Linked DNA regions of Saccharomyces cerevisiae S288C. The gene in region 3 interacts genetically with the main gene of each other region. Each region holds a gene or a part of one and is shown on either strand. Other genes may lie near its edges.

Region 1 (7,580 bases), on a different chromosome or scaffold from region 3:
TAGATTGGTACACAAAAGCACGGGCAGAAACTTGCACACCCACCCAGTTGCTGCACCAGTGTCAAAGACACAATGGGAGGTTTCTGGTTACGGTGACAATGTTGTTGGTGACAACAAAGACAATTGGGTTATTGAGATCATGGACCAAAGAGGAGATGAAGACCCTGAGAAGTTGCACACATTGACCACCTCTTTCCGTATCAAGAACTTGGAGATGGGCTGTTACTTGGCTCAAACCGGTAACAGTTTGCCCGAATGGGGTTTCAGACAACAAGAGGTTGTCTGCATGAAAAACCCATTCAAGAGGGACAAGAGGACCTGGTGGAACATCGAGACCCACGAAAATGAAAGGTTGCCACCAAGACCCGAAGATTTTCAATACCCAAAGACCAACTTCTTAAAAGACTTCATTCATTTAAATCTAGCCATGATGGCCACTAATAACGCTTTGGTGCCAGATCCAGACAAATTTGATTACTTAGCTTCCTCAGCATGGCAATGGCCAACTTTGAATGTGGGTTTGAGACTATGTGGCTGGGGTGATGATAATCCAAAATACTTCCTATTGGGTACCCCAGCTTCCACGTGGGCTTCTAGTGTTGCCGTCCTCGCATTCATGGCCACGGTCGTTATCTTACTGATCAGATGGCAAAGACAATATGTGGACCTAAGAAATCCATCTAACTGGAACGTTTTCTTAATGGGCGGGTTCTACCCACTACTAGCTTGGGGCCTACACTACATGCCATTCGTTATCATGTCTAGAGTCACCTACGTTCATCATTACTTGCCTGCCTTGTATTTTGCACTGATCATTTTGGCGTACTGTTTCGACGCCGGTTTGCAAAAATGGTCCAGATCTAAGTGCGGCCGTATCATGCGGTTCGTCCTATACGCCGGATTCATGGCACTTGTAATTGGTTGCTTCTGGTACTTCTCCCCAATATCATTTGGTATGGAGGGACCAAGTAGTAACTTCCGCTACTTAAACTGGTTTTCCACTTGGGACATTGCCGACAAGCAAGAAGCATGAATTAAGATCATCGTAGTAAGTACATAAGTAAAAAACAAGAATTAAATAAAATTTCTATATCAACCAGCAGAAGAAGTGGTCTATATAAACCACTATATAATGAATTTCGATAAACACTCTTTAATTGTTAACCAGGCTGTTCTCCTTACTCATCTTTGCGATCCGATGCTGTTTTATTACCCTTCTATTTTTTCCTTTCTGCATTTTGATTTTCGCGAATAATGAAATTCTTGATCTTTTTATCAACAATGAAAAAAAAACTGTAAACAGAAACTGATAATTTCTTGAACCCTTTAGCCCACCCCAACCGTACTCGTGTTATTCGCTCGTTGATTTACGCGAACCTTTTTGTTTGCTTTACATAGCCTCTAGCCATTCAAAGATTCGCTACCCTGAACCATGGAAATATTTAGCCAGAAAGATTACTACCCGACTCCATCCTCAAATGTTATTAGCTATGAAAGCGATTGTGTATCCAAACCAGTGAATAGTGCAGACCTGCCCGCGTTAATTGTACACCTTTCTTCCCCTTTGGAAGGTGTAGACTACAACGCATCTGCAGATTTTTTCCTTATTTATAGGAATTTTATAACGCCTCAAGACTTACACGACTTACTCATCTATAGATTTCGATGGTGTATTAGGGAGATCACAACAAATGCTGCAAAAGCTAAGAGAAGGCGAATTGGTGAAGTTGCCCTCGTGAGGACGTTTGTGTTGTTGAGGCATTCCATACTGAATTATTTTGTGCAAGATTTTTTACCGAACATAACATTAAGACTTCGGTTGATCGAGTTTCTAAACGACAAACACATTGAACAGTACCCAAAAATAATTTCCAGCTGTATAATCAATCTGAAAAAAAACTGGGTGCATTGTTCTAAGTTGGTTTGGGAGAATATTGAACTAAATGAACCTGATAAATTAGACTTTGATGCATGGCTGCATTATTCGTTAAAGGATTTCACGCAACTAGAAAGCCTACACAAAAGAGGAAGCCGACTGAGCATTTACGCCAGGCAAAGTTTTGCCAGTCCTGATTTTCGTAACCAAAGCGTTTTATCATTATATAAAACTTCTGATGTATTTAGACTGCCGGAGAAGCTACAGTCTTCAAATTCTTCCAAAAACCAGAGAAGCCCTTCTATGCTTTTATTTCCCGATAATACATCAAATGTTTACTCGAAGCACCGAATAGCGAAAGAACCTTCAGTTGATAATGAAAGCGAGGACATGTCAGATAGTAAACAAAAGATCAGCCACTTGTCAAAAGTCACTCTAGTATCCACACTAATGAAAGGCGTAGACTACCCGTCATCATATGCAGTCGATAAAATAATGCCTCCAACACCGGCTAAAAAAGTTGAATTTATTCTGAATTCCTTATATATTCCTGAAGATTTAAATGAACAAAGCGGAACGCTTCAAGGTACATCGACGACATCATCTCTAGATAACAATAGCAACAGTAATAGTAGATCTAATACATCTTCAATGTCTGTGTTACATCGCAGCGCTATTGGTCTTTTAGCTAAGTGGATGAAAAACCATAATCGCCATGATAGCAGTAATGATAAAAAATTTATGAGTGCTATTAAACCAGCAAACCAGAAACCTGAAATGGATGCGTTTGTCAAATACGTTGTATCAATATCATCTCTCAATAGAAAATCTTCCAAGGAAGAAGAGGAAGAGTTTCTTAACTCTGATTCTTCTAAATTTGACATCCTAAGTGCAAGAACCATAGATGAAGTGGAGTCCCTACTGCATTTACAAAACCAGCTGATAGAAAAAGTTCAAACACATTCGAATAACAACCGAGGTCCTACAGTTAATGTTGATTGTGAACGTCGGGAACACATACATGATATAAAGATTTTACAACAAAATAGCTTTAAACCGAGTAATGATAATTTTAGCGCTATGGACAATTTGGATCTGTATCAAACCGTAAGTTCAATTGCTCAGTCAGTCATCTCTTTAACTAATACTTTAAACAAGCAACTGCAGAACAATGAATCGAATATGCAGCCATCACCCTCGTATGATGCACTGCAACGAAGGAAAGTAAAAAGTCTCACGACAGCATATTACAATAAAATGCACGGTAGCTACTCAGCAGAAAGTATGAGGCTCTTTGATAAAGATAATAGTTCTTCACGTACAGACGAGAATGGACCTCAAAGATTGTTATTCCATGAAACTGATAAAACCAACTCAGAAGCGATTACAAATATGACACCAAGGAGGAAAAATCATTCCCAATCCCAAAAAAGCATGACTTCTTCGCCTCTGAAAAATGTTCTACCTGATCTTAAAGAATCGTCTCCCTTAAACGATAGTAGGGAAGACACAGAATCAATAACATACTCATACGATTCCGAGTTGTCATCCAGCTCTCCACCCAGAGATACTGTAACGAAAAAGTCAAGAAAAGTCAGAAACATCGTGAATAATACAGATAGTCCAACTCTAAAAACAAAAACTGGATTTTTAAATCTAAGAGAGTTTACATTTGAAGATACCAAGTCTTTAGATGAGAAAAAGAGTACTATAGATGGCCTTGAAAAGAATTATGATAACAAAGAAAATCAGGAATCAGAATATGAGAGCACAAAAAAGCTGGACAACTCACTCGATGCATCATCAGAAGCCAATAATTATGATATAACTACAAGAAAAAAACATTCATCTTGCAATCACAAGATCAAACAAGCAGTTGTAAGACCGGCTAGTGGAAGGATCAGCATTTCAAGAGTTCAAAGCATTGCCATAACACCAACCAAAGAGTTATCCATAGTAGATCCTGAGCAAAACAAGTCAAACTCAGTTATAGAGGAAATAAGTGAAATAGAACCTCTCAACCTGGAATATAATAAAAAAAGCGCGTTGTACTCTGATACATCGTCCACCGTTATCAGTATCTCAACGAGCAAGCTTTTTGAATCTGCTCAGAATAGTCCTCTAAAACAAACTCAAAATCCACAGAGAGAATTTCCCAACGGGACCAGCGTGAGTGAAACCAATAGAATCAGATTATCCATAGCACCCACAATAGAATCTGTTGTAAGTGATTTGAATTCGATTACCACTGGTAGCACAGTTGAAACTTTCGAAACGTCCAGAGATTTACCAGTGCCACACCAAAGGATAATAAATTTGAGAGAAGAATATCAAAGGGGTAATCAAGATATAATCTCAAATACTTCTTCATTGCATGAGTTAAAAACAATTGATTTAAGCGATTCCAATAATGACCTAGAAAGTCCAAGTACCCATGCGAAAAACAACAAGTATTTTTTTTCACCAGATGACGGTAGCATTGACGTTGCTTCTCCAATGAAAAACGTTGAAGAGCTGAAAAGTAAATTTCTGAAGAACGAGAGTGAAACTAATAGTAACATATCAGGAAGTGTATTGACAATGGACGATATCGACATTAATGACACATCTAGTGCCCGGAACACACGGAGAGCAAACTCTGAGTCGGCTTTTACAGGCTCCTTGAATAAGAAAAATTTAAATGAAATTGCTAATATGCTCGATGATTCAATTAATGACGATCCAATAACCGTGGCATTAATGAAACTGGAAGGTACATACGAGAAAATTCCCGAAAAACCAGAGAACACCAAGAGTAGTGACGCTATTGGAATTAAAACGAGCAAGTTAGCAGATGAAGTGGAAATGCTAAACCTTAACAACTTGCCGTCATTCCAAAATAGCCCCGCAGAAAAAAGAAAATCGTTATTAATAGAAAGAAGGAGACAAACTATAATGAATATCCCCTTTACTCCAGATCAATCCGAGAAGGAAGGCTTTACTTCCTCCTCTCCTGAAAAAATAGACGTGTCAGCTAATGTTGATGTTGCTGTGCAAGCGGCGCAAATCCAGGAATTAATCGGTCAATACAGGATTCACGATTCGAGATTAATGATTTCTAATAATGAAAGTCACGTTCCATTTATACTAATGTACGATTCCCTGTCTGTAGCGCAACAAATGACCTTGATAGAGAAGGAAATTTTAGGAGAAATAGACTGGAAAGATTTATTAGATTTAAAGATGAAGCATGAAGGCCCACAAGTTATAAGTTGGTTGCAACTACTAGTAAGGAACGAGACCTTATCTGGCATTGATTTAGCTATATCCAGATTTAACTTAACTGTGGATTGGATTATATCAGAAATACTTCTTACCAAGAGCAGCAAAATGAAAAGAAATGTCATTCAAAGGTTTATACACGTTGCAGACCACTGCAGGACATTTCAGAACTTTAACACATTGATGGAAATCATTCTAGCCTTAAGTTCTTCAGTTGTTCAAAAATTCACTGATGCATGGCGTCTGATTGAACCAGGCGACTTACTGACTTGGGAAGAGCTAAAGAAGATTCCCTCGCTAGACAGGAATTATTCTACAATAAGAAATCTACTTAACTCTGTGAATCCACTGGTGGGTTGCGTCCCTTTCATCGTCGTATATCTTTCGGACCTATCAGCAAACGCAGAGAAGAAAGACTGGATCTTAGAAGATAAAGTAGTGAATTACAATAAATTCGATACGAACGTTCAAATAGTCAAGAATTTCATTCAAAGGGTTCAATGGTCCAAGTTTTACACTTTCAAAGTTAACCACGAATTGCTGAGTAAGTGTGTTTATATTAGCACATTAACACAAGAAGAGATTAATGAACTATCCACATGAGGTATTGTGCCACTTTCCTCCAGTTCCCAAATTCCTCTTGTAAAAAACTTTGCATATAAAATATACAGATGGAGCATATATAGATGGAGCATACATACATGTTTTTTTTTTTTTAAAAACATGGACTCGAACAGAATAAAAGAATTTATAATGATAGATAATGCATACTTCAATAAGAGAGAATACTTGTTTTTAAATGAGAATTGCTTTCATTAGCTCATTATGTTCAGATTATCAAAATGCAGTAGGGTAATAAACCTTTTTTTTTTTTTTTTTTTTTTTTGAAAAATTTTCCGATGAGCTTTTGAAAAAAAATGAAAAAGTGATTGGTATAGAGGCAGATATTGCATTGCTTAGTTCTTTCTTTTGACAGTGTTCTCTTCAGTACATAACTACAACGGTTAGAATACAACGAGGATATGTCCGACGAAATTGTTTGGCAAGTGATTAATCAAAGTTTCTGCTCTCATAGAATTAAGGCACCTAATGGTCAAAATTTTTGCAGAAATGAGTATAACGTCACTGGGTTGTGTACAAGGCAATCATGCCCACTTGCCAACTCCAAGTATGCAACAGTGAAGTGTGACAATGGGAAACTGTACTTGTATATGAAGACGCCTGAAAGAGCGCACACTCCTGCCAAGTTATGGGAAAGAATCAAACTATCCAAAAATTACACGAAGGCTTTACAACAGATCGACGAACACCTACTACATTGGAGCAAGTTTTTCCGTCATAAGTGTAAACAGAGATTTACAAAATTGACGCAGGTCATGATAACAGAGAGACGTTTAGCATTAAGGGAGGAGGAGAGACACTACGTTGGTGTAGCACCAAAGGTCAAAAGAAGAGAACAAAACAGGGAGAGAAAGGCATTGGTAGCTGCCAAGATTGAAAAAGCCATCGAAAAAGAATTGATGGACAGATTAAAGAGTGGTGCTTACGGTGATAAACCATTAAATGTTGACGAAAAGGTCTGGAAGAAGATAATGGGTCAAATGGAAGAGGAGAATTCTCAGGACGAGGAAGAAGACTGGGATGAAGAAGAGGAAAGTGATGATGGGGAAGTTGAATACGTTGCAGATGATGGCGAAGGTGAATACGTTGACGTGGATGACTTAGAAAAGTGGTTAGCTGACTCTGACAGAGAAGCTTCCAGCGCCAGTGAAAGCGAAAGCGACAGTGAAAGCGAGAGCGACAGCGATAGTGATGAAGAAAATAAGAATTCAGCCAAGAGACGTAAGAAGGGAACTAGTGCCAAAACTAAACGTCCTAAAGTCGAAATCGAATACGAGGAGGAACACGAAGTTCAAAATGCTGAGCAAGAAGTGGCACAATAAGCTCACGCACTATACTACGCAACATTACATGATTTCAGTTTCTATTATTGAATGAACAGGATTTTTCCACGTGGATTGGGCAGCGCACTGTACCATAATAACAACCAGTTATAAAATATTTCAATTCTTTTACATATATAAAAATACATAAAGACTATTATTTTTGTAAGATGGCCCATTCTGTAACACTTAAATTTCTTATCAAAAAAAAAAAAAATAATACCTTTAGTAGCTGTTGGGCTAATAACATTGCAAATTAGAAGCTTACTATTAGAAGCTTACTATTACGGGATTATTGAGGTAAAGGTTATTTGAAGCGTAAATCACTGAAATCTTCCTGATCACGTGATTGGCTTTTTTTGCCAGAAAACCCAAATCTGTTTAATGCCACTAAGTTGAAGAAACATATAATCAACAATTGTTGGCAATTCTAAGGGGAATAGTGCAACAAGAAGCCAGTAACGCCAAATAGAGGTTAGCGCCAAGCAATAATTTACTGG
Region 2 (7,407 bases), on a different chromosome or scaffold from region 3:
ATTGGTCTATATCTTCATCTGAGTCAGAATCATCAGCGGCAGAAGCGGCTGCGGCCTTCCGTGGAACGGCTGCAGCCGATGACGAGGCGGAAGTTGATGTAGAAGACGAAGATGACGAAGAAGCGGCAGAATTATTTGCAGGGTCATCGCCATCACTGGCATGGAGGTACTCTTTCGAGGGTTTCTCCTTGTATTGCTTTGCTTCAGTGGAAGACATAACGCAAAACAGTTTCCTTTTGCTTAAATTGTACTAGCACACAGCAACGAAAAATGAAAAAAAAAAAGTTATGGGTATGTTTAAAAAAGCCCAGTAGCTTGGATACAGTAGGTTATCCAGCAAGAAATGCTGGAAGAAATAATAGATGGTAAAAGAGGATATTACACACCTTTATATAACGAAGTACCATCACACCGCCAATTACGTTTAGGGGACGCCGACAAGAAGTAAATTCACTATTATGTACTTACAAATATGTTTCCACCGATAACCTTTCCCCCTTCGACGGTTATTTGAGCAGCGTCTGTCCGCCATTTTTCCAGAGAAGCTACTTCATCAATCAATTGACTTCGCAATTCCCTTAAACAAAAAAAATTTCTTTTGCCCTCCCTCGACGATTTTGGAGTAGAGAATACCTTAGGCCTTTTTTTTTCTTTTTTCTCACGGCTGCTCTTCCTCTTTTTCGCATATTCTATTTTATCATCGACTTCCCTAATTCGCACTCGTACCAAAATGTTAAGCAGTATGGCGAAGAACGTGGCGCGCTGGAGTCGTGAATGTTTGGGTCCTTGATGATGGACTACGGTAGTAAGTATGTAGTAGTTGCAACTTCATATGTTCACTTCTGATCCAAGGAAGAGCGGTTATGAATTAATCTCTTGGCATGAGCGGACGGGTAAGGGGACACCGCCTTTTCTTCGATGGGAATCAGGGTAATGGTATATGATGGATTATTGTGGAATCATTTAGTACGGCAGATGTTGAAAAAAAAAGCAGAAAATTTTTGAATTTTTTTCGTTGACATTGGAAGATTTCGTAGTGGAAACAGCTGCAATTGCTTGTTAAGTAGTAACCCCTCCTTTGTCACAAGAGAGCGAATATTCTTTCTAGGGAGGTTTAAGAATAGAACATCTCACACCAGACGCGACTCATAATTCATAATGCCAATTGACCAAGAAAAATTAGCTAAGCTACAAAAGTTGTCTGCTAACAACAAAGTTGGTGGTACTAGAAGAAAGCTTAACAAGAAGGCAGGCTCTTCTGCCGGTGCCAACAAGGATGACACCAAGTTGCAAAGTCAATTAGCTAAGTTGCACGCTGTCACCATTGACAACGTCGCCGAAGCCAACTTTTTCAAGGACGACGGTAAGGTCATGCACTTCAACAAGGTCGGTGTCCAAGTTGCTGCTCAACACAACACTTCTGTATTCTACGGTCTACCACAGGAAAAGAACTTGCAAGATTTGTTCCCAGGTATTATCTCTCAATTGGGCCCTGAAGCCATCCAAGCCTTGTCTCAATTGGCTGCCCAAATGGAAAAGCACGAAGCCAAGGCTCCAGCTGATGCTGAAAAGAAGGATGAAGCTATTCCAGAGTTAGTTGAAGGTCAAACTTTTGATGCTGACGTCGAATAAATAACTTAATCTTTAATTTTAACGTTAAATAAAAAAACACATATTTTGTTCCATTTTTTTTCATTTTTTTTAGCATATCTAAAGCATATAATACAAACACTGTTTTCTGCAAAAAAAAAAAAATAAAAAATAAAATATAAAAAAACAATATACCACACTATGCTGCACACGTGAAATGATGAACTTGTACGTCACCACTTTGTGCGCAAAAAATTGGCAAAAGTAGAGAACATGTCACTAACTGTATCGGAATATTACAACGTTTTTTTATTCTACTTATCTCAATGGCTAAAGTATATATCTATCTATATATGTATGTGTAGGTGTGCTGATGGAGACAAATACGTTTTCCTCTAGCCTTACAACAGGCCGGTACCATTCTTTATCGCATCCTTGATGAGCTCATCTACATCAACGTCTGAACCTTCACTTAGTTTCTTTCTGTTTCTTTGACAGGTCAGTGTGTTAGAATGTCTTTTTAGAGCATCCTTCCTGGCAAACCCTTTGCCACAGTTTGAGCAAATATGCGGCAGCACGAGTGAGTGTACCTTTTCATGTCTTCTCAGATCAGAACTTCTGCTGAATTTCAACTGACATTTCGCACAGCTGTAGAGCTGTGCGCCTTCCTTGCTATGGTTGTTACCTCCTGTTCTTTTTGTTTGTGTTTCTGGAATCCTTATAAGACCTCTAGCCATATTTTCCGGCTCCCCAGCCTTTAAAACATTTTCTGGTGCTGGTATAACTGCGCTCAATGGGCTGGATTGTCGAATTCTGTGGAGTAGCTCTCGTATTATGGGGTCCGTATGAGTGGGACTTGATGAGATTACCGCTATAGCTTCTGCCGCTTGTTTGAGAAATATTTCATCTACATTCATGTCTTGCGCCAGTTTCATATGCACATATAGACTATCGACTGTGTATATTGAGCCCAACTTGTTAATGATCAAATCTCTTTACGTACTGAGGAACGGCTTTTTCTTTTTCTTACCCATGTTATATTTTGCATTAGAACAAAAAAAAAATTGATGGGCTAGCAAAATTTTTAGACTAAAATTTAGAGGCAAGATATGGTTCTGTAAGACTCGAAAAAATTCTCATAATATATACTTGCTTGTGTGAAAGTGTTCTTTTGTTTTGTTTTTTTTTCTTGTGTATAATTATACATGTTTTTTTTGCCTTTTGTACTCAAGAAATCATAAATGGAAATAAAAATGACCCTTGAATGATGAACAAAACGACAAACCATACTTTATTAAACTATCCTAAAAGCTTCTTGTACTAACTTTTTACCCATTTTGTTAAACTCCTGTAATTCTGTCACCAAAACATATCCGTTACTTTGACCCGACCATTCACCAGAGTCACTTACTTGGGTGGGTTCGATCCCACACTCAATTAATGATCTAGAATGCAAACCATTTGGTGTGTCTGGGATAAACGTAGTTTGTCGATATGTATCGGCATCAGCCCCCATGCTATGCGTTTCTTCATGTTCCGACCGCCTATCTTGGCCTTCCCCATCGGAATGGCTATGAAGCGAGTATGCCCTTGTATGTACATGTAGATCATCAGCTGACCTATTGGTAGAGAAAAAAGGTGATGCTGATGAATTGGAGTTCATAAAAGAACTTCTGAGGAAGTACGAATGTTGTTCACGTCGAGATAACATTTGCCTGCGTTGTTGTCTACTCCGCCGAATAAGTACAGGCCTCACAATAGAACAACAATTTATCACTTCTTCCAGTGGCAAGCCTGTTATCTGGGAATAGAGATGATAGGTTTCATCCCTCGTGGTAATCCTGTCGCGGTCATCGCCTACAACATTTGGCACACTTAAGATGAAAGCAGCTACAAATAGTTTGTGTAAGCTGAACTTTAAAAACTTCATGTAGTTAGTTTCCTTCGAGCAGCAATCTAGAAACTTGATGACAATGCAACAGACCTTTTTGAACTGTAAATGCGATGATTTGGCTCTGTGTAGGATTATTTCTAAAAATTTGGTTGTTTTCAAATGATTTGTGCCAATAATTGCATTGTCATCATCACTAGGCATGGTAACTAATAGGCTCGCATACCGCTGCATAATCCCCTTAGTCACTTGCGCTATCATGAACTTTTTCAATACCACTTTTTGCTTTTTAAATGACAACTCAGCAGATGCCATGTTATCAGCACCGCTCAAATTATACTCCTCTTTCAGCATCCCCCAGCGTGAATAATTCTACCCCGTATTCTTTAAATATTTAACATAGATGGCGATGATGTGTCGCCCCATATAATGTACTTTAAAAACAATAAAATCCTGTTCTGAAAATGTCGATTCTTTTTCCGCAAGCGAGTTAAGAAACGCAGAAAAACAGCAAATATAAAGGACCAAGGCTAGAAGTTATGGAACACAGTATACTAAGAACGATCTTTAGCTACTTATGAAGCGCTCCAGGCTTGTGCCTCAACATATCTTTAGCATTATTAGCAAGCGATATCTCGCCAAACATGCCTACCAAAAAACATTAAACTTGCCCAAGACCAAATTCCCTAATAGATCAAACTTAGAGATTACATTGAGGGAATTAATACCAAAATCTTCGCAGTTAGTTTACAAGGAGCAGCTACGTGATTTCTTCGAAGAATTTTCAAAGCTTAATACGACTGATGAAAAATTAGAGTTCATTAAAGAAAAGTTGTTCATCTTACATGATGGACCGCCCTATGCCAACGGCGAGCTCCATCTCGGTCATGCTCTAAATAAAATTCTGAAAGATATCATAAACAGATATCAACTTTCACAGGGGAAGTACATTTTTTATAAGCCTGGCTGGGATTGTCATGGACTACCCATCGAGATTAAAGCTTTGAAAGATTTAAGCGCGCAACAGATCGAGTCAATATCGCCTTTAAAAATCAGGTCAATGGCTTTAAAACATGCACAAAAGGCAATCAAGAGGCAAAGGGAAACTTTCCAACATTTTGCCATCTTAACGGACTGGGAAACACCATACCTAACAATGGATAAAGACTATGAAATTAATCAGCTAAATATTTTTAAAGAAATGTACGAAAGAGGACTGATTAAGAGACAGAACAAACCGGTTTACTGGGGTACAGAAACTAGAACAGCGTTAGCAGAGGGCGAATTAGAATATAATGAAAACCATAAATCCATCGCTGCTTATGTTAAATTTCCTCTTGAAAAGAAATCCCAGATGGATCTGTGCAAAAAACTAGGAATAACGAATAACTTGCCTATATACTGTTTGATTTGGACCAGTACTCCATGGACTCTTCTCTCTAATCGAGCAATCTGTTTCAATCAGGATTTTTCCTACTCCCTATTACGCTTAAATAGTGAACTTATCCTTGTAGAGACCGGCTCCATTGATAAATTGGGCCTAACAACTAACTCATTTGAGACTATCAAACAGTTTCAAGGAACTCATCTAAATGGGCTATATTATCAAAACCTCTTAGTAGACGATAAGGTTGGCAGGCCCTTATTACATGGTGCACACGTTACCAGCGGTACAGGGACTGGATTGGTTCATACAGCACCAGGGCATGGACAGGATGACTATCTCATTGGTATTCAAAATGGTCTTGAAATTTATTCTCCCGTGGATCACCAGGGCCGCTACCAATTAAATGAACTTCCTCAGTCCGTCAGATCCATCGTGAGAGATGAAGGAGACTTAACAAAAGGTAGGCAAGTATTGGATGCCGAAACCGCGAAAATCATTCTATGTAAGTTAAGCGACCTTAATTTACTTTACAAATCTCACGAATACACGCATTCTTATCCGTACGACTGGAGATCCAAGAAACCTGTCATAATAAGAGCTACTCCACAGTGGTTTGCAGATTTACACGATGTAAAAAACTTGGCTCTGGAAAGCATCAGCCGCGTCAAGTTTTGTCCTAAAAGAGGCTATTCAAGACTTTCATCCTTTATGAAAAGCAGAAATGAATGGTGCATATCTAGGCAACGCTCATGGGGTATCCCTATATTAAGCTTTTACAAGAAGAGCGAACCGGATTCTGTTTTGATGAATTCAGAAATTTTGGCACATGCCATAGAAAAAATCAAACAAAAAGGAATTAATGCATGGTTTAACGATAAAGATAATGACATGAAAGAATGGTTGCCAGAAAAATATCACGACGTAGCGCATGAATACTGTCGTTCTCAAGATACTATGGATGTGTGGTTTGATAGTGGGTCGTCATGGAGTGTGATCAAAGACTTTTATGAAAAAAGCTTAAAGTTGTCAAAACTCCCATCCCCCCTGTACCAAGTTTGTCTAGAAGGATCTGATCAACATAGAGGATGGTTTCAAAGTTCACTGCTAACAAAAGTAGCATCAAGTAATGTCCCTGTTGCACCATATGAAGAAGTGATTACTCATGGTTTTACCCTAGATGAGAATGGTCTGAAAATGTCAAAATCTGTGGGAAATACAATTTCTCCCGAAGCAATAATTCGAGGCGATGAAAACTTAGGCTTACCAGCTTTGGGTGTTGATGGCTTGAGGTATCTGATAGCACAATCGAATTTCACAACTGATATAGTTGCTGGCCCGACTGTGATGAAACATGTAGGAGAAGCTCTAAAAAAGGTTAGACTAACTTTTCGCTATTTATTGAGTAATTTACAGAAGTCCCAAGATTTCAACCTTTTGCCGATTGAACAATTACGCCGTGTTGATCAATATACCTTGTATAAGATAAACGAACTGCTGGAAACGACGAGAGAACACTACCAAAAGTACAACTTTTCCAAGGTTCTCATTACTCTACAATATCATTTAAATAACGAGCTATCGGCGTTTTATTTTGATATCTCAAAGGATATTTTATATTCCAACCAAATATCGTCATTGGCAAGAAGGCAGGTCCAAACAACGCTTGTCCATATACTAAATGCATATAGGGCAATTCTTGCACCAATATTACCCGTTATGGTCCAAGAAGTATGGAAGTATATACCAGAAGGATGGTTACAAGGACAAGAACATATAGACATTAATCCGATGCGTGGAAAATGGCCGTTTTTGGACTCAAATACGGAAATCGTCACCTCCTTTGAAAACTTTGAACTAAAAATTCTAAAACAGTTCCAGGAGGAATTCAAGAGGTTAAGTCTAGAAGAAGGTGTCACCAAAACAACACATAGTCACGTTACCATTTTCACCAAGCATCACCTCCCATTCAGTTCTGACGAGCTTTGCGACATATTGCAATCATCTGCTGTTGATATATTGCAAATGGACGATAATAATAACAGTCTACCAACTATTGAATTGGGAAGCGGAATAAACGTTCAAATATTGGTTGAACGAAGCAAAAGGCACAACTGTCCCAGATGTTGGAAGGCCAACTCAGCCGAAGAGGATAAATTGTGTGACAGATGTAAAGAAGCTGTGGATCATCTCATGTCTTGAATGACATGTACCTTTCCTGTATATAAAGAATGCCAATTATTGGCTCTTAGAAAATAAAAACCCTCTTGTACTTATTAGTGGGTACCTAACAGGTCCCCTACTGACATTTTGATGCAGGGCCTCGGCCTATTGTTCTTACCAGCTCTCAGCGCGTTATACGAACAGGAAGCAAAGAAGAGAAATGTAAAAATATTGCTTTTGAGAGACCGTGTAAGGATAAGTGTTACACCCAAGGCACCCTCACCAGGAACATGACTGTCATGAATCTTTTCTTCAGGCCCTGTCAACTGCAGATGGGCTCTGGACCGTTGGAGCTCATGCTTAAAAGGCCAACGCAATT
Region 3 (7,914 bases):
CTATCGAGCTATCGTACTACGGAACAACTACATAAGTCAAAAATGGCCATTGATTACTCTAAGTGGGATAAAATTGAACTATCAGATGATTCTGATGTCGAGGTGCATCCTAATGTGGACAAGAAATCGTTCATTAAATGGAAACAACAGAGTATCCATGAACAGCGATTCAAAAGGAACCAAGATATCAAAAATTTGGAGACACAAGTGGATATGTATTCTCATTTGAACAAACGAGTGGACAGAATTTTGAGTAATTTACCTGAAAGTTCTCTTACTGATTTGCCAGCCGTTACCAAATTCTTGAATGCAAATTTTGATAAGATGGAGAAAAGTAAAGGGGAAAATGTTGATCCTGAGATTGCAACATACAATGAAATGGTTGAAGATCTTTTTGAACAATTAGCAAAAGATTTAGACAAAGAGGGCAAAGACTCGAAGAGCCCATCTCTCATAAGGGATGCTATTTTGAAACATAGGGCTAAGATCGATTCAGTAACTGTAGAGGCTAAGAAGAAATTAGATGAATTATACAAGGAGAAAAATGCACACATTTCATCTGAAGACATTCATACAGGCTTTGATAGTAGCTTTATGAACAAGCAAAAGGGGGGGGCTAAGCCACTGGAAGCAACTCCTTCAGAAGCTCTTTCGAGCGCTGCAGAGTCTAATATTCTTAATAAACTAGCAAAATCATCAGTTCCGCAAACTTTCATCGATTTTAAAGATGATCCTATGAAACTGGCCAAGGAAACTGAAGAATTCGGTAAAATATCCATTAATGAGTACTCAAAATCTCAGAAATTCTTACTGGAGCACTTACCTATTATTTCAGAACAACAAAAGGACGCCTTAATGATGAAGGCCTTTGAGTATCAGTTACATGGTGACGATAAGATGACTTTGCAAGTCATTCATCAATCCGAATTGATGGCCTACATTAAGGAAATCTACGACATGAAGAAAATTCCATATTTAAATCCAATGGAACTATCAAATGTCATTAATATGTTTTTCGAGAAGGTTATCTTCAACAAGGACAAGCCAATGGGTAAAGAGTCTTTTTTGAGATCAGTTCAAGAAAAATTTTTGCACATTCAAAAACGTTCCAAAATTTTACAACAAGAGGAAATGGATGAATCGAATGCTGAAGGAGTAGAGACGATTCAATTGAAATCTCTAGATGATTCTACAGAATTAGAAGTAAACTTGCCAGACTTCAATTCTAAAGATCCAGAAGAGATGAAAAAGGTTAAAGTTTTCAAAACTTTAATACCGGAAAAAATGCAAGAAGCCATAATGACCAAAAATTTGGATAATATTAATAAAGTCTTTGAAGATATACCAATTGAAGAGGCTGAGAAACTTTTGGAAGTGTTTAATGACATTGACATTATTGGAATAAAAGCGATCTTAGAAAACGAGAAAGACTTTCAAAGTTTGAAAGATCAATACGAACAGGACCATGAAGACGCCACTATGGAGAATCTGTCCTTAAACGACCGTGATGGTGGCGGAGATAACCATGAAGAGGTCAAACATACTGCCGACACTGTTGACTAGAAATTTATGTAGCTATTTTACTGGTGCAGCGTGCATCTACTTCCTTTTTTATTGTTATTTTCATTTATACATAATACAAAAAAAAAAAAGAAGAAAATTAATGATCAATAAAGAAAATCGTGAAATTACAGCAGAGGTTTTGTACCTGCTTTCCTACGTTAGTACATAATATCTTATTTTTTATTAGTGCATGTTTTTCTCAGTGTGTGTTTTTGTAATTTGTATATACTACACAAAGAATCGGAAGGGTAAAATGTGAAAAATACTGGGTCTTTTGAAATATATTGAACGGGCTAATATATGAAATGAATATGAAAAGAAGAAAAAAATGTGACAAGAAAAAAGTGGTGACAAAAAAGACAAAATAATTATTCAGAGATGATAAACTTAAAGCAAAACTTGGTAACAAACTTTCATTAAAACAAAATATGTATTCTTTTTTCATTTTCATTTTTTTTTTACTGTTTTTTTGTTATTTCATGGAACTGGTAAAGAATTCTTAAGATTTTAAGCTCATTAATAAAAACGCAGCACTATTGTCTTCCCCATTTCTTGGCTGCTGTTCATGTTTCTGTTGGTCGTGTTGTAGGGGAGGCTCAATATCTCCATTCTGAGAGTTAGTAAAACTTGGATTTGTAGGTTTAGGGCTAACTACGCCATTAGTAGAACTTGCTACGCTGTCTATGTTAGGTGCTAAACTGTTATTTCTCAGAGAAGCTGCACCAATTGATTCCCAGTCTTCTTCGTCTGTATCTGAGTGAGGTTGATGATGAGAATGGGGAACAAGTTGTGGCGACGATTCCCCATTCAGGTGTTGTGAAGCTACTCTATGTTTCTCCTTGTCCGATAATACTATCGGATTTGAACTTACATTCATCTGTTCTTCTAGCTTAGGGGAGGTGGAAACCGACGTAGCTTTAGAGTTAGGGTTTGTAGTGACGATCAAATAGTTTTTGTTTGGGAAAAGTGTCGATCTAATACTTGATTCTTTCGATACAGACAGACGAGAAGCTCTTCTTGAAGTTGGCTCACTTGTCGCAGTAAGTTTCTCTAAATCTATCTTCGCCTGGTTTGAGTTACTGTTGTTATTTGATGGGGTTGTCGTTGAGGTTGTATTGGGGGAAAGGTAGGATGAATCTTGGTGTGTGTTTAGTTTGGAAATGAAAGGTGTATGTGGTTTTATGCTCGAACGGCGTCTATTTCTTAATAGCGGTCTAATCTTTTGTGCTATTATTTCATGCTCAATATTCTCGGGAGTTGAATCGGCGAACACAACTTGAGACCTTCTCCTGCCGAAACTATAGGGATCACCATTTGAAGATTTTCCAAAATTATTACTGCTGTTCCTCGATTTGTTTTGGTAATGTAAATGATGGTCATCTTCATCAAACTCCTCATCCTCATCTTCCGATGCTAGCGCATTTTCATCTATATATACTACGTTTGCTGCTGCAAGTGGAGATTTGCTGCGTTTGATATTAACAGGAATGGTGGTGGAAGCAACAGCGGTAGGCGGGGTGGTGGCTCCATCGATATTCGTGATATTATGCTCAACTTTCATAGGCATTTCAACTTTGCCGCCTGAATTAGAATTTGAATTGTTGCTTTTCCTTCTTTGACTCTCTTGAGAAATCAAGTCTTTCACCTTTGCATTTGCAAAATTGGTCGCTTCCAGCTCCTTATCAAAGTTGGCAGGGTCTACTCTTTTCGCGGACCATTGACCCCATCCAATTTTTTCAAATACCACTGATTTTTCTTTATCACCACTTTCCATAGCACTCATTATAAGTCGTCTTTGCTTGGAAGATGATAAATCTTTAAAACAGGGAATATCTAGGCATAAGGTCTGTGTAATGTGTCTAATGGCCAATGGTCCCATTTCTAGTAATAAAGTGGACAGTTTCCCGGGCGTAACTCTTTGAGCGGCTGCTAACCCAGCGGGTGATGATGTGGAGATAGGTTTGGAAAATATACTAGAGCTTGCCTCGGATTTGACCGATATGGCTTGAGGAGGCGATACCTCCTTTTGGTTTTCTGACATTATTAGTGGTAGTCTGAAATAATGTCTTTTTATTCAAAATTTCAATTTATTAGAAAAGCACAAAGCAGGAGCTTGGCGTTTGTACACCGAATGATTCAGATGATACTATACTCTTTTTCCTTCTTTTCAGCGGAAATTTAGTAACGGTCTTTAATCGTGTTTACAAGTGGTTACAAATTCACGTGCTCCGATTGGAAACTGGTTATTGACACGACTCTTGAAAATCTCAGTTCGCCCTTTTTTGCGATAAATTTAACGTGCTTCTGATCAGGATTGCCAGGCACCGTTTGCAATCAGTGTCTTTTATAATCGATTTGTCTTGGATATGGATGGTATTACCGTACCTGTATCTTTATATTATAGCGTGGATTGCGTGAGATTGTGTGGAGATGAACATGAGAAGGATAAAGACTATCTGAAATAGTTCACTCTTCGGTTACTAAGGTAAGGAAGGCGCCTCTACCCTCTCAGCGCGCACGTGCGGAGTGATCAGCCTACTACCGTAGGGACTTTTGCACGTTATTATGGGAATATCATTGCCAACGCAACCTGATTCCTATACAAGCAGCCAATTCATGCAAATGACTGTAGTATTGTATAGCATGCCAACATTCTTCATCATACTATCCTGAGGTCCTATTTCTACAAAGATCCCACAAAAGGGTTCATAATTTTGGCCGTATTTCAGTTTCTGCCGTGCTTGTTTGAGAATCTGGGGCATTCCAATTTGCTTGACGAAGATCTCAAGCCACTAGCACCAATAAGCAACATTCTCACTCGAGAAGTCGCAGAAAATCTCTGTGACTGCATTTGTTTTAGAGACATTCTCATCATTGGACGGGAATGTTCTGGCGCCACGATAAGAAATTTACGACCGGGAATGTTGCGTACTCTAGTTTTTGTCGATTTTGCTACTCACTCCTGCTGAATTTGCAGTAATGTTTTAAAGATGTGGCTTCGCAACCACCAACATGAACCCTATGGTCGTGTCTTTTGTTTGTTTCTTGTAACAAATCATAGCGAGCAGTTTGAAAATTATTACAAAACCAAAATACGTCTCTAGTAGTGCTACCATAGAATTTATTGGGGCATACGTAAAACAAAGTTTGAATCTTTCTTGTCATACTTCGCCATAAATTACAGACAGTCTCGTCCCCTATGCTTCAAAAGAAATAGGATGCGAGGGGTGGAGGCGCTTGATGGAAGAATAATCCAAGTCCTCAACCTTTTAGGCTAAACAATCTTGGGACTCCCGTACAAATACTGGATATCTCAAATTGCTCAAAAATTGTGCTTTATTGATCCAAAAGTTGCCTGTCCAAAGATACATCTACATTGACATAATGGAAAACATGAAAACATACACCTACGAAGGGCATAATTGTGCAAGATATAAATGCAGCCTATGTTTCCTGCCAGATGGAGCGTATATTTCCGACCGAGTATTACTCAGTTGAACTCATTCAACGTTACACAAGTGAAGTTGATTATAGGATAATGTAGGGGTTTATAATAGCGTAGTCAATCAGGCTTATGAGGAACAAAAATAGTAAAAGCAAGCAAGTATGGCCCTATTTATCTTAAGCGTCAAGCCTTTTATATCCAAGCAAGCACTTGCAAACTTTGTTGTTATCGCTGATGGCGCTCCTCCATAGCGAGTATTGATGCTTGGCATAAACAACAAGCCTGTAAGCCTTGCCTTCTCATTCGCCTTCATTACAAGTAAAAACGCCCTCATCTGCTATTTGTTTCCAATAAATCCGTGAAAACATCGGTATGTTCTAGTGTTTTGATGGAAGCGGTGCTACCTTATTGTTTGCAATATGGATGACTCAGCTTAATGGTTTTGTGATGAACACAGTAAAAAAACGTTGACTCCTACGTGCAGCCGATCGTCCTCCACACTTAAATTCGTTGAGATAAATCGTGTAGTAATACACTCAGTCATTCAGTATCCGTGCTTGTTTCTTTCTTTTCCTATTTGTTCGCAAGTGACTACGTGCGCCCTTAATTGCTTACATATTTTAGGTTAAGATTACATCCTTTCTTATTTCGGCAAAAATGAAGTTAGTATAAAATGCCCATGAATGAGGACCAAAATGGCTAAACTTGATAAGTCTTTCTACATAGTTTACATATTTGTTATTGCTATATGATGTACCTTGTTTATGAATTAAACGAATCTAAAAAGGATCACCGCCACTAAATCAGGATTAATATGAGTAAAAGTATATCAACCTTCTCATTTTTTCTGTGTTCTACAACTAAGCATATTTTAATCTGCTGGACCATTCAACAAAGCCTTAATCAGTAGAAAGGTATAATTCACCAACTCTGCTTAGAAATTGTTTTATAGCATGTCTCAACTCCGTTGGAACGCTCTTATCTAATATTTGAATCACCAGAGCATACATAGCAGGACAGTATAGTCTAAAGTCTTCATCATCAAATTCGTAGTAACCTTGTAATATTTCAACTATCACTGAACGCCAGGCATTGATACTACGTTCCATGGTTCTATCATCCAAAGAAACATAACCCTCTACGACCTGGATGCAAATGGTGATCAGACGAGTTATTAAATCAGCCTTCTTCTCATCATCGTTCAGATACAACTGAAACATAATGTCAAGGAGAACTGCAGCAGCACTCGTTTCTTGTTTCAACAGGTTTGGTATTTTATCAACTACACGAGCCTCTACTAGTCTTGTTCTTAACCCATAATCTTCATTAAAGTCACGAGAAAATTCGTACGATTTCTCCAACAATCTTGTAATTCTAATGGCTTCCTTGTAAGGGATACAGTGGGCAAAATCTTCGTTCTCGAATAATTCGTTGAGCAGCTCTATCATCAAAAGCTGTAAAACACATTTGACAACAATAGAATTCTTGATGTTTATTCTCCTACGTATATCTTCGTTACTTTCGTTTCGTTTCATGTGCTTAGTTTTCTTGGGGATACTTAGACTAGCGGGCTTTGGATTCAATTCGTCCTTTACCGTCGGAACGGAATTGCCATTATTAAGCTTAGTTTGCCCATTGAGTGTTTCAACCATGTCACCACCAACGTCTTCGCTGGATTCTTCTTGATGCGCTCTTTCGACCGTCTCACTGATATTAGAATCGTTCTCCCTTCTGTCGTTGCTATCATCATCTGAGTGTTGGCTGGTATCATTAGTTGTTTGGTGATGAGATACAGATGATTTTCTTCCTTGCTGTAACGGATCATAATCGAACAATTCATTAGCAGTGGTTAAATCAAACAATTTATCGAATACGTCACCTATTTGATTCCAATGGTACTCATTGAATTTAGATACGTTTTGCAATATCAATTGTTGCAGGCAGGATCTCCCAATTCTAGCAATAGTGTCATTTTCTTGACAAATACAGGATACCAGCAGACCCAAAAATCCATCGAGCATTCTGTTCAACGATTCAAAGTAATGCGTAAAAAGGGCAATCAAGTTCCTTAAGGCTTGAATTAACGTGGTCGAAAGCCAAACACTTAAATCATCATGACTATTGAATTGGTTGACTTCCCAATGTTTGGATAATACACCGAAAATAGGAAATAGTAACTTCTTACAAATCTTTTCCCAGAAATCATCATTGAATTTACCACCATATGCCACTAGGGCATCGAACATATAGTTTAATGCACGTGATCTAACTTCTAAGTCTTCAGCTGTCATGATCGTATCATTGAAGCAGAATAACATAGGGAACCACACATCCTGGAATATGTCTTTCCCACGAAGTAAAGCATCGTTATGTTTTCTTTCTTCTTCAGTCTTATTTTCATTGTAAAAACAGATGTCTGCGACGTTCTGAGTCATCTTTCTTAGAGACTCCAAAGCATGTAGAGATAGCTTTTGGAATCTCTTATTTTTGGTGATTTCTCTGAAGACACCAACTAACTCAGAAAAGGCATCTTCTTGAGAGAATACGTTTTCGAAGTGATTTGTCACAATATCATTGCTAACCAGCAATTGCGTCTTTAATACAATGGATTCAGTGCTTGAGCGAGCCGTATATTGTAAGGATTCAAGAATAGGCTTCCAGCCAGATTTGATACTTTCCGATTTTGTCAATATGAAGTTCCTAAAACACTCAATAATCATTTCTTGAACTTCAGTGTTGCCACTATTTTGAACCGTGTATTCAAAAGGTTTTAAAAAATCATGTTGAAATTCAAAACCTGATAATTCCTCAATATCTAAAAATCTCATAGACAATTGACGCAGGGAATCGATAGCGAAAAATACTACTGCTAAGTTAGAGTTTGTAGCAATCTTGTTGAAAGCTTT
Region 4 (8,029 bases), on a different chromosome or scaffold from region 3:
TACCAGAGCAAGCATCAAGTAATTGTATGGGATGTTATTACTTCAACGTCAACAAATCATTTATGGACCAATGGGCCTCATCATATACTGTAGAAAATCCGTACTTGGTCACTACAATTCCCCGTTGTTTCATCAACAGCAATACTGACCAAAGTTTGATAAAGTCCTTAGGATTGAGTGGTAGGAGTTTGGAAGTTTTGAAAGATGTAAGAGTTACTTTGCATGATATTACCCTTTATGACAAGGAAAAAAAGAAGTTTTGTCCCGTGTCCTTGAAGATAGGAAACAAATACTTCCAAGTTTTACATGAGATTCCGCAGTTGTACAAGGTTACCGTATCAAACAGGACATTCAGCATCAAATTCAACAATGTTTACAAGATATCAAATTTAATTTCAGTCGATGTCTCTAACACCACAGGCGTTTCCTCGGAATTTACGTTAAGTCTTGATAATGAAGAAAAGTTGGTATTTTGCAGTCCGAAGTACCTAGAAATTGTGAAAATGTTTTATTATGCCCAGTTAAAGATGGAAGAAGACTTTGGTACGGATTTTTCGAACGATATTTCATTTTCAACATCCTCTTCAGCAGTTAATGCTTCTTACTGCAATGTTAAAGAAGTTGGTGAAATTATATCACATTTGTCATTGGTGATCCTTGTAGGTTTATTCAATGAGGATGATCTCGTCAAAAACATATCATACAACCTTCTCGTGGCAACGCAAGAAGCATTTAATTTAGATTTTGGGACAAGGCTTCACAAATCCCCAGAGACATATGTACCCGATGATACCACCACGTTCTTGGCCCTAATTTTCAAGGCTTTTTCAGAATCTTCAACGGAACTAACTCCATATATATGGAAATATATGCTGGATGGCCTTGAAAACGACGTGATTCCTCAAGAACATATTCCTACGGTTGTCTGTTCATTGTCATACTGGGTACCAAACTTATATGAACATGTATATTTGGCAAATGACGAAGAGGGACCAGAGGCGATTTCACGTATAATCTATAGCTTAATCAGGTTGACGGTCAAAGAGCCAAATTTCACGACAGCTTACCTTCAACAGATTTGGTTTTTACTGGCATTGGATGGTCGTCTCACGAACGTGATAGTTGAAGAAATAGTAAGTCATGCGCTGGATAGAGATTCAGAAAACAGAGACTGGATGAAAGCTGTGTCAATACTAACCAGTTTTCCAACGACAGAGATTGCTTGTCAGGTAATAGAGAAGCTAATAAATATGATCAAATCTTTTCTACCTTCTCTAGCAGTTGAGGCTTCCGCACACAGTTGGTCTGAGCTTACTATTTTATCAAAAATTAGTGTGTCAATTTTCTTTGAATCACCCTTACTTTCCCAGATGTATTTACCGGAGATTCTTTTCGCTGTGTCTCTGTTAATTGATGTCGGTCCTTCGGAAATAAGAGTCTCATTGTACGAGTTGTTGATGAATGTTTGTCATTCTTTAACCAACAATGAGTCCTTACCTGAAAGGAATAGGAAAAATTTGGATATCGTCTGTGCAACATTCGCACGTCAAAAGTTGAACTTTATCTCCGGTTTTAGCCAAGAAAAAGGTAGAGTTTTACCAAATTTTGCCGCTTCCTCCTTCTCCAGTAAATTCGGAACATTAGATCTCTTCACTAAAAACATTATGCTATTGATGGAATATGGTTCTATTTCAGAGGGTGCACAATGGGAGGCAAAATATAAGAAATATTTGATGGATGCGATTTTTGGCCATCGGTCGTTCTTCTCTGCGAGAGCTATGATGATTCTAGGTATAATGAGTAAGTCGCACACGTCCCTTTTCCTTTGTAAAGAACTTTTAGTTGAAACCATGAAGGTCTTCGCAGAGCCAGTTGTGGATGATGAACAAATGTTCATCATTATAGCTCATGTCTTTACTTACAGCAAAATTGTCGAAGGGTTAGATCCTTCTTCAGAATTAATGAAAGAGCTATTTTGGCTTGCTACAATATGTGTTGAATCCCCTCATCCTTTACTCTTTGAAGGTGGTCTCCTGTTCATGGTAAATTGTTTGAAGCGACTGTACACGGTCCATCTTCAACTTGGATTCGATGGCAAATCGCTAGCCAAAAAATTAATGGAATCTAGAAATTTTGCTGCTACGCTTTTGGCTAAGTTAGAGTCATACAATGGATGCATATGGAACGAAGATAATTTTCCTCATATTATTTTAGGTTTCATTGCAAACGGTTTATCCATTCCTGTCGTAAAAGGAGCCGCATTAGATTGTCTACAGGCCCTTTTCAAGAATACATATTACGAAAGAAAGTCCAACCCAAAATCCTCCGATTATCTTTGTTACCTTTTCTTACTCCATTTGGTCTTAAGTCCTGAACAACTTTCTACCTTGTTACTTGAAGTCGGCTTCGAAGATGAACTGGTACCTTTAAATAATACACTAAAAGTGCCACTTACTTTGATCAACTGGCTAAGTTCAGACTCAGATAAATCTAATATAGTCTTATACCAAGGAGCACTTTTGTTTAGCTGTGTTATGTCAGACGAACCATGTAAATTCCGTTTTGCTCTATTGATGAGGTATTTGCTCAAAGTCAACCCTATTTGTGTATTCAGGTTCTATACGCTGACTAGAAAGGAATTCAGGAGGTTATCAACCCTAGAACAATCATCTGAAGCGGTTGCTGTCTCTTTTGAATTGATTGGGATGCTTGTTACACACAGTGAGTTTAATTACCTAGAGGAATTTAATGATGAAATGGTCGAACTTTTAAAAAAGAGAGGCTTGTCAGTTGTGAAGCCTCTGGATATTTTTGATCAGGAACATATAGAAAAGTTAAAAGGAGAGGGTGAACATCAAGTGGCAATTTATGAGAGAAAAAGATTAGCAACAATGATACTGGCAAGAATGTCGTGCTCCTAATTTTAAATTAGAGTATTGCAGTGATTATATACGTTTTTCCTTATAATTATATTTTGTTTTATATTTGTTGGATTGTAGATTTTAAATTAAATGAAACGTAGAGATTTGTGTAAAGTATAATGATTGCAAGGTTAAGAGTGAAACATTTTTAGAGCACTACTAACTAGCATTTTCCAAGGTGGAAAGATCCGAAAAAGCACGATTACCGGAAATCCAACTGTTGACCATTTCCAAACTTGCCTCCGGTTGATCATAGGGCACCATATGACCGGCATCGTATATTCTCAAAAAGGTGAAAGGGCCATAGTTCTTGACTTGTCCCAACTCTTCACCTGTTTCTTTACTGACCCATGGTCTTAACATCCTTCTCTGATACCTACGTTTATTGATCCATTCCAACTCATTGGACCAAGCATGGTTTCCCAGCCAATTACAAATATAATCCTTATCACCCGCATATATTAATACCGGAATGTTGTGATTTAATAATTCAGCAATATATTGTTGAAATGGTTTACTTCCATCGCCCGTAAACAAAAATCCGGTGAACACGTCATTATCACAGCCAGAATAATTATGCACGTCGGACCCTAGCGTTTCTTGAACTTCAGGAAAATTCATATACTGGTCGACATAGCGGAGACCTGTATAACACATACCATCAGTACTATTATCTTCACAGGGCCCTCTAATGTCATAGACGTTGAGTCCTGTGTTAATGTACGGTTCCAAAAGTGCAGAGTCACAGTAAGCAGTGGCGACTATGCATGGTAAACTTGATTTAGAAGCATAACATAACTTGTTCAACCTACGACAACGACCTGCAGCTTTACTCATTTTCTCACATTCTTCTGATGAGAGAACAGGGTGATAGCCCCCTTTCCCGCATGCCATTGGTTCATAATAATCTGCTTGAATCAAAGGGTCTGTGATACCATTACCAATCATAACTGAAGTTAAATTGAACGTTCTTTCAGGGTTCTTGACAACGATCTCATGTGCAATTTGAGGGATATAATGTCCTGCATAGGATTCGCCTGCAATGTGGAAATCGTTGGAGCGTAAATGAGGAAAAGCTTCAAAAAACAATTCCAGGAAAATGTACGCATCTTTGCCTGCTAATTTTGTAGAGGAGACTTTTTCATCACCATAGGAAAAGCCGACTCCGAGTGGCTGTTCTAAGAAGATCATTGAAGCGTTATTATTCCAAGAATAGGGATTGTGGATTGGTTTCATATCGGCGCCAATTGATGAGGGGCCTAGTTCAAATAGCAACCCAGTAAACGAGGAACAACCAGGTCCACCATTTAACCAAAGAATAATTGGGTCGTTAGCAGGATCGTTCCTACTTTCAAAAAACCAGTAAAAAAAGTGTTTGGAATCCTTATAGTCCATGTAACCCGACCATTGTTTTACGGTGTCAATTCCTAGTTTAGAAGGATCTACTGTTCTAAGTCTCAAACTGTAATCTGTGTCCACAGAAGAAATAAAAGTTGTAAACAGCGGATCATCGTGATTCAAACGGTCCAATTTAAGGGTTTGCTGTGTATTCTGTGGAAGCTTTAGCTGTTTATCCAAATTGGCAAAGGTGGTATCATCTTCAAAAAGAGAAAAGGCTCGGCCGAATGAGGCGTATTTGATGCTAATAAGAAGCTGAAGCACGAAAACTAAGTTTAGATACTTCATTGTATGTCGGTATCACTTTTTGTATAGCTGTTTTAAAGAAAAAATGCAGGATGACAATTTTCGTTCTTATATAACCCCTGTCCCCTGACATTTTTCGATAACGAAGCGTTATCTCACCTTTCGTAGAATGCTAGCGCCGCCTCGGCCATTTTTAGGAAATTTCCTAAATCGCTCACATTGTAAACAAGAACATCTTAGAGAACTCTAAGCACTTTTAGAAAAAAGGATTATACTAAACGAGTCAAAAACTATTTATCCAACAAGTCACAGATTGGAATAGTCTCGAAAACTTGATCCAACCACTAATTAAAAGGTTAAAATTAAAGGATGGAGAAAGATCAAATCCAGCCTAGGGTGTTGGAGTCAGTAGACACAAACTCATTATCCTTGCTTTCGTCCAATACCAGCTCAAATATGAATAGCAACACCAACAATAAACTCAGTATAATTGCCAGTGATATTTCTACAGGATCCGTACTTTCCAGGCCCTTGACTCCTCCAGTCGTCCAGGATATAGAGAATAACTCCATGTTACAATGGCAATTTGAAAAGAAGGAATTTATCTTCGATAGTAACAGCACTCCTTCGAAGCAGGCAAAACCATTGCAGAGAAATTCTCCATACCAAGGCAATAGTCAAAGTGAAAATCAGAACCAACAGTTATTGAATGTAAGAAAGCGTCGCTCACAATTGATAGGTGCCAAGCCTAAAATTCCATCCAAATTGTACCAATCTGTTTCCAAATTAGATCTAATTGATGACAAGAGCTTTACGTCTTTGCCAATTGCGCCTCCATGCAATATCGAAACTAATGAAGATGACAGTGGAAACAACGAATACAACAACAATAAAAAACGGCCCAGGTTGAATCCTGTAAATGAACTGCGAGTGCATAACAACAAACGTAATAGGTACGTCAGTTATGGGCCGAGTTTAGATACAAAAAACTACGAGCTAACAGAAAATACTTCTCAGGATATACCACCGCTAGTCCTGGTTGAAGACTACATACCGTATACCCAAAGTAAATCAACAAAAAAAATGGTATCTATTTCAGATTTGAAATCAAAACTAAGTAAAAGAAGAGATAATCATATCCCGCTGAGAGTAAAAAATTCATATTCTGAAATTAATAAGGAAACCAATAGAAATAGCTTTGAACCGAATTCACTAACACTGATACCCCATATATTAAGGAATACTGAAGAAAATAGGGACGAAAGTAACAACCCCTTAGATTTTATCAAAGAGGAAATTGAAATAAGTGATATTTCCATACCAAATTCCATTGAAAATATGGTGGTTAACTTGGTTAATATTCCATCTTCCAATAAAAGTTACGATGATCTTTATCTATCGGAATTAAATGTTCATTCCCAACTGAGGAAATGTGTCATCTGCGAAAAGGCCCTATATGAAATTAGCTCGAGACTTTTAAATTCAGGATACTATAAAGAAATTGTATGTGAGCAATGCACAGTTAGATATGAAGAAGCCGCTAAAATCTTTGAGAACTGCGAGTTCGAATCATCTATGGATGAATCAAATCTAAGCAGCGGTACTTTTAGTGATCTAGAGAATTCAGCAGAACCGTTTCATTTATCGACAGATGTTCCAAAAAAAATAAATAGGCACATAGAAGATAACAAGATCGACCTTAAAAAGGAAATATCAAAAAAAAAGGACAGCTTCTCTAAGGAACTAATAGAACGATTGCAGTTGCAATTGCTAGAAAATGATAAGTCAATCAAACATCATTTTAATAAAGATGCAATGGGCTCTAAATCAATGAATTGGTTTTTGGAAGCAAGAAGAAAATTGAAGTGGAAGTGGAGAATAAATGGTTTACTTCCGCATTTCTTACGCAATCAAAATAGTGATCGTTTAAATTTTCAACCTTGAAAATACATTGCTAAGAGATCACTAAAACAAACAGGACTGCATTGGTGCTGTGTATTTTTTCAAGGGCAAAACAATCAATATATATATGAAAAGCTTACGACTAAATAACAGTTATACTAGTAACGGGTAAAAAATATTCTATGGTGTTCAAGCCTCTATTTTACTTCTACCTACATTCTCAATCCAAATTCAAATCTTCTTCTAGACTTTCATTAGCAAATGCAATTAAAGAGCTGACTGCCATTAAATGGTCTTCTTCCTGCTTCAATCCACTTATAGTTAAGCAGGCATAGGGGTAGTCACTTCTCTCCGATTGTATTAGGACAGCACCTCCATGGAAAGCGTATTCTTTTGAGTCCACAAAAAACTTTTCCTCCGGTGTTTTGTCACCTTTCTTGCAGCCCATATAGAAACTTGAATGACCAAATCGAAGCGCTGTCTTCTTCTTTCTCTGGATCCAAAAATCATTGTCCAATGCACTGCCACCGTAGGTCACTGTGCGAAACAAGCAATGCCCATTTGGTAAGGAGATATCAATTGCAACTGGTTTTTCGGGGAAATTTTCTTTAACTGCATTTCTTATGTAAGTCCCCAAATCAAAGGCATCTTGATATGTAAAAGTAGACAAAAAGCATCGTTTTTCCATATCTTCGAGCTCTTCTAAGGGAACCTTACGAGAAGTCAATCTTTCCAATAACTTCTTGTCTAAAACCACCATAATAATTTTCTCCGTAGACTTTTTTTGAATAATTTGCTCTTATAATAAGGCTTGATTAGGTTGTTTCTCTTTTGAAATGCGAGATAGTCCTTAATATTATTACGTACGTATATGTTATGTTAACTTATATGGTGTCAACATCCCTGTTAAGAGAGATAGTATGACATGAAGCGGGGATAAGTATCTATTAACTCCGCCGGAGAAAAGCACCTGCAGTGATGGTTAGATCAAGAGGAAGTTCGTCTGTTGCCGAAAATGGTGGAAAGTCGTTACCAAAATGGAAGCCAACCAATATACATCTTGCTTAGATTGTCTTCTGATGTTGCTTCTTGGATCAATGTTTCTGTTTGGCCAGCAACACTCAATACCAGGCCATCCTGCGGATCTATACCGCGGATTTTGTTTCTTAAGACCTTTAGCGCTTTTTGAATTGAGTGGTCCATGTTTCTATCGTACATAATTGTTTCGATCACATTCATCAACGCTACTTCATTTTTTCTCATTAAAGCCAACGTGACTTCACTAGACTTCTTAAATGTTCCTTCTGTCCCAATTATGCCCAACGCATCCAATAAATTTGGTGTTAGTCTGAAGGGAACAATTTCTGGGACAGGTAACCTTTTGCCTTTCTCAAATAAACAGTCGAAGTCTACATGAAGAACTTTACCCGTCTGTATATCTAGTAATATGTTTTCACAGTGCCTATCACCTAGACCTAATATATGGCCAACCATTGCCATGACGGCGTAAGATCTGGCATACGTATTCCTGGCGTTGAACCAATTGATTGGATCAGGAAAGT

The links.
Region 1: mutations in STB3 (region 3) and MAK16 together harm fitness more than expected from each alone (negative genetic interaction), as found in Saccharomyces cerevisiae (one large-scale study listed by BioGRID).
Region 2: mutations in STB3 (region 3) and YPL039W together harm fitness more than expected from each alone (negative genetic interaction), as found in Saccharomyces cerevisiae (one large-scale study listed by BioGRID).
Region 4: mutations in STB3 (region 3) and ATG42 together harm fitness more than expected from each alone (negative genetic interaction), as found in Saccharomyces cerevisiae (one large-scale study listed by BioGRID).

What each region holds. Positions count from the first base shown.
Region 1 is NC_001133.9:99,725-107,304, reverse strand, and holds MAK16 (ribosome biosynthesis protein MAK16), read left to right. Parts: upstream 1-6,159; coding exon 6,160-7,080; downstream 7,081-7,580. Other genes in the region: dolichyl-phosphate-mannose-protein mannosyltransferase PMT2, read left to right, coding at 1-1,033; mitotic regulator LTE1, read left to right, coding at 1,433-5,740.
Region 2 is NC_001148.4:475,653-483,059, reverse strand, and holds YPL039W (uncharacterized protein), read right to left. Parts: upstream 3,836-7,407; coding exon 2,885-3,835; downstream 1-2,884. Other genes in the region: H(+)-exporting P2-type ATPase PMA2, read right to left, coding at 1-217; EGD1 (Egd1p), read left to right, coding at 1,159-1,632; MET31 (Met31p), read right to left, coding at 1,992-2,525; YPL038W-A (uncharacterized protein), read right to left, coding at 2,687-2,878; isoleucine--tRNA ligase ISM1, read left to right, coding at 4,059-7,067; MRX11 (Mrx11p), read left to right, coding at 7,319-7,407.
Region 3 is NC_001136.10:790,286-798,199, forward strand, and holds STB3 (Stb3p), read right to left. Parts: upstream 3,605-7,914; coding exon 2,063-3,604; downstream 1-2,062. Other genes in the region: Hsp90 co-chaperone CDC37, read left to right, coding at 43-1,563; YDR169C-A (uncharacterized protein), read right to left, coding at 4,289-4,438; Arf family guanine nucleotide exchange factor SEC7, read right to left, coding at 5,908-7,914.
Region 4 is NC_001134.8:512,242-520,270, reverse strand, and holds ATG42 (carboxypeptidase C), read right to left. Parts: upstream 4,608-8,029; coding exon 3,081-4,607; downstream 1-3,080. Other genes in the region: GTPase-activating protein IRA1, read left to right, coding at 1-2,921; YBR138C (uncharacterized protein), read left to right, coding at 4,935-6,509; YBR137W (uncharacterized protein), read right to left, coding at 6,688-7,227; protein kinase MEC1, read right to left, coding at 7,497-8,029. UniProt on the Saccharomyces cerevisiae protein: Vacuolar serine-type carboxypeptidase involved in vacuolar zymogen activation, breakdown of the autophagic body, and autophagosome-dependent protein synthesis.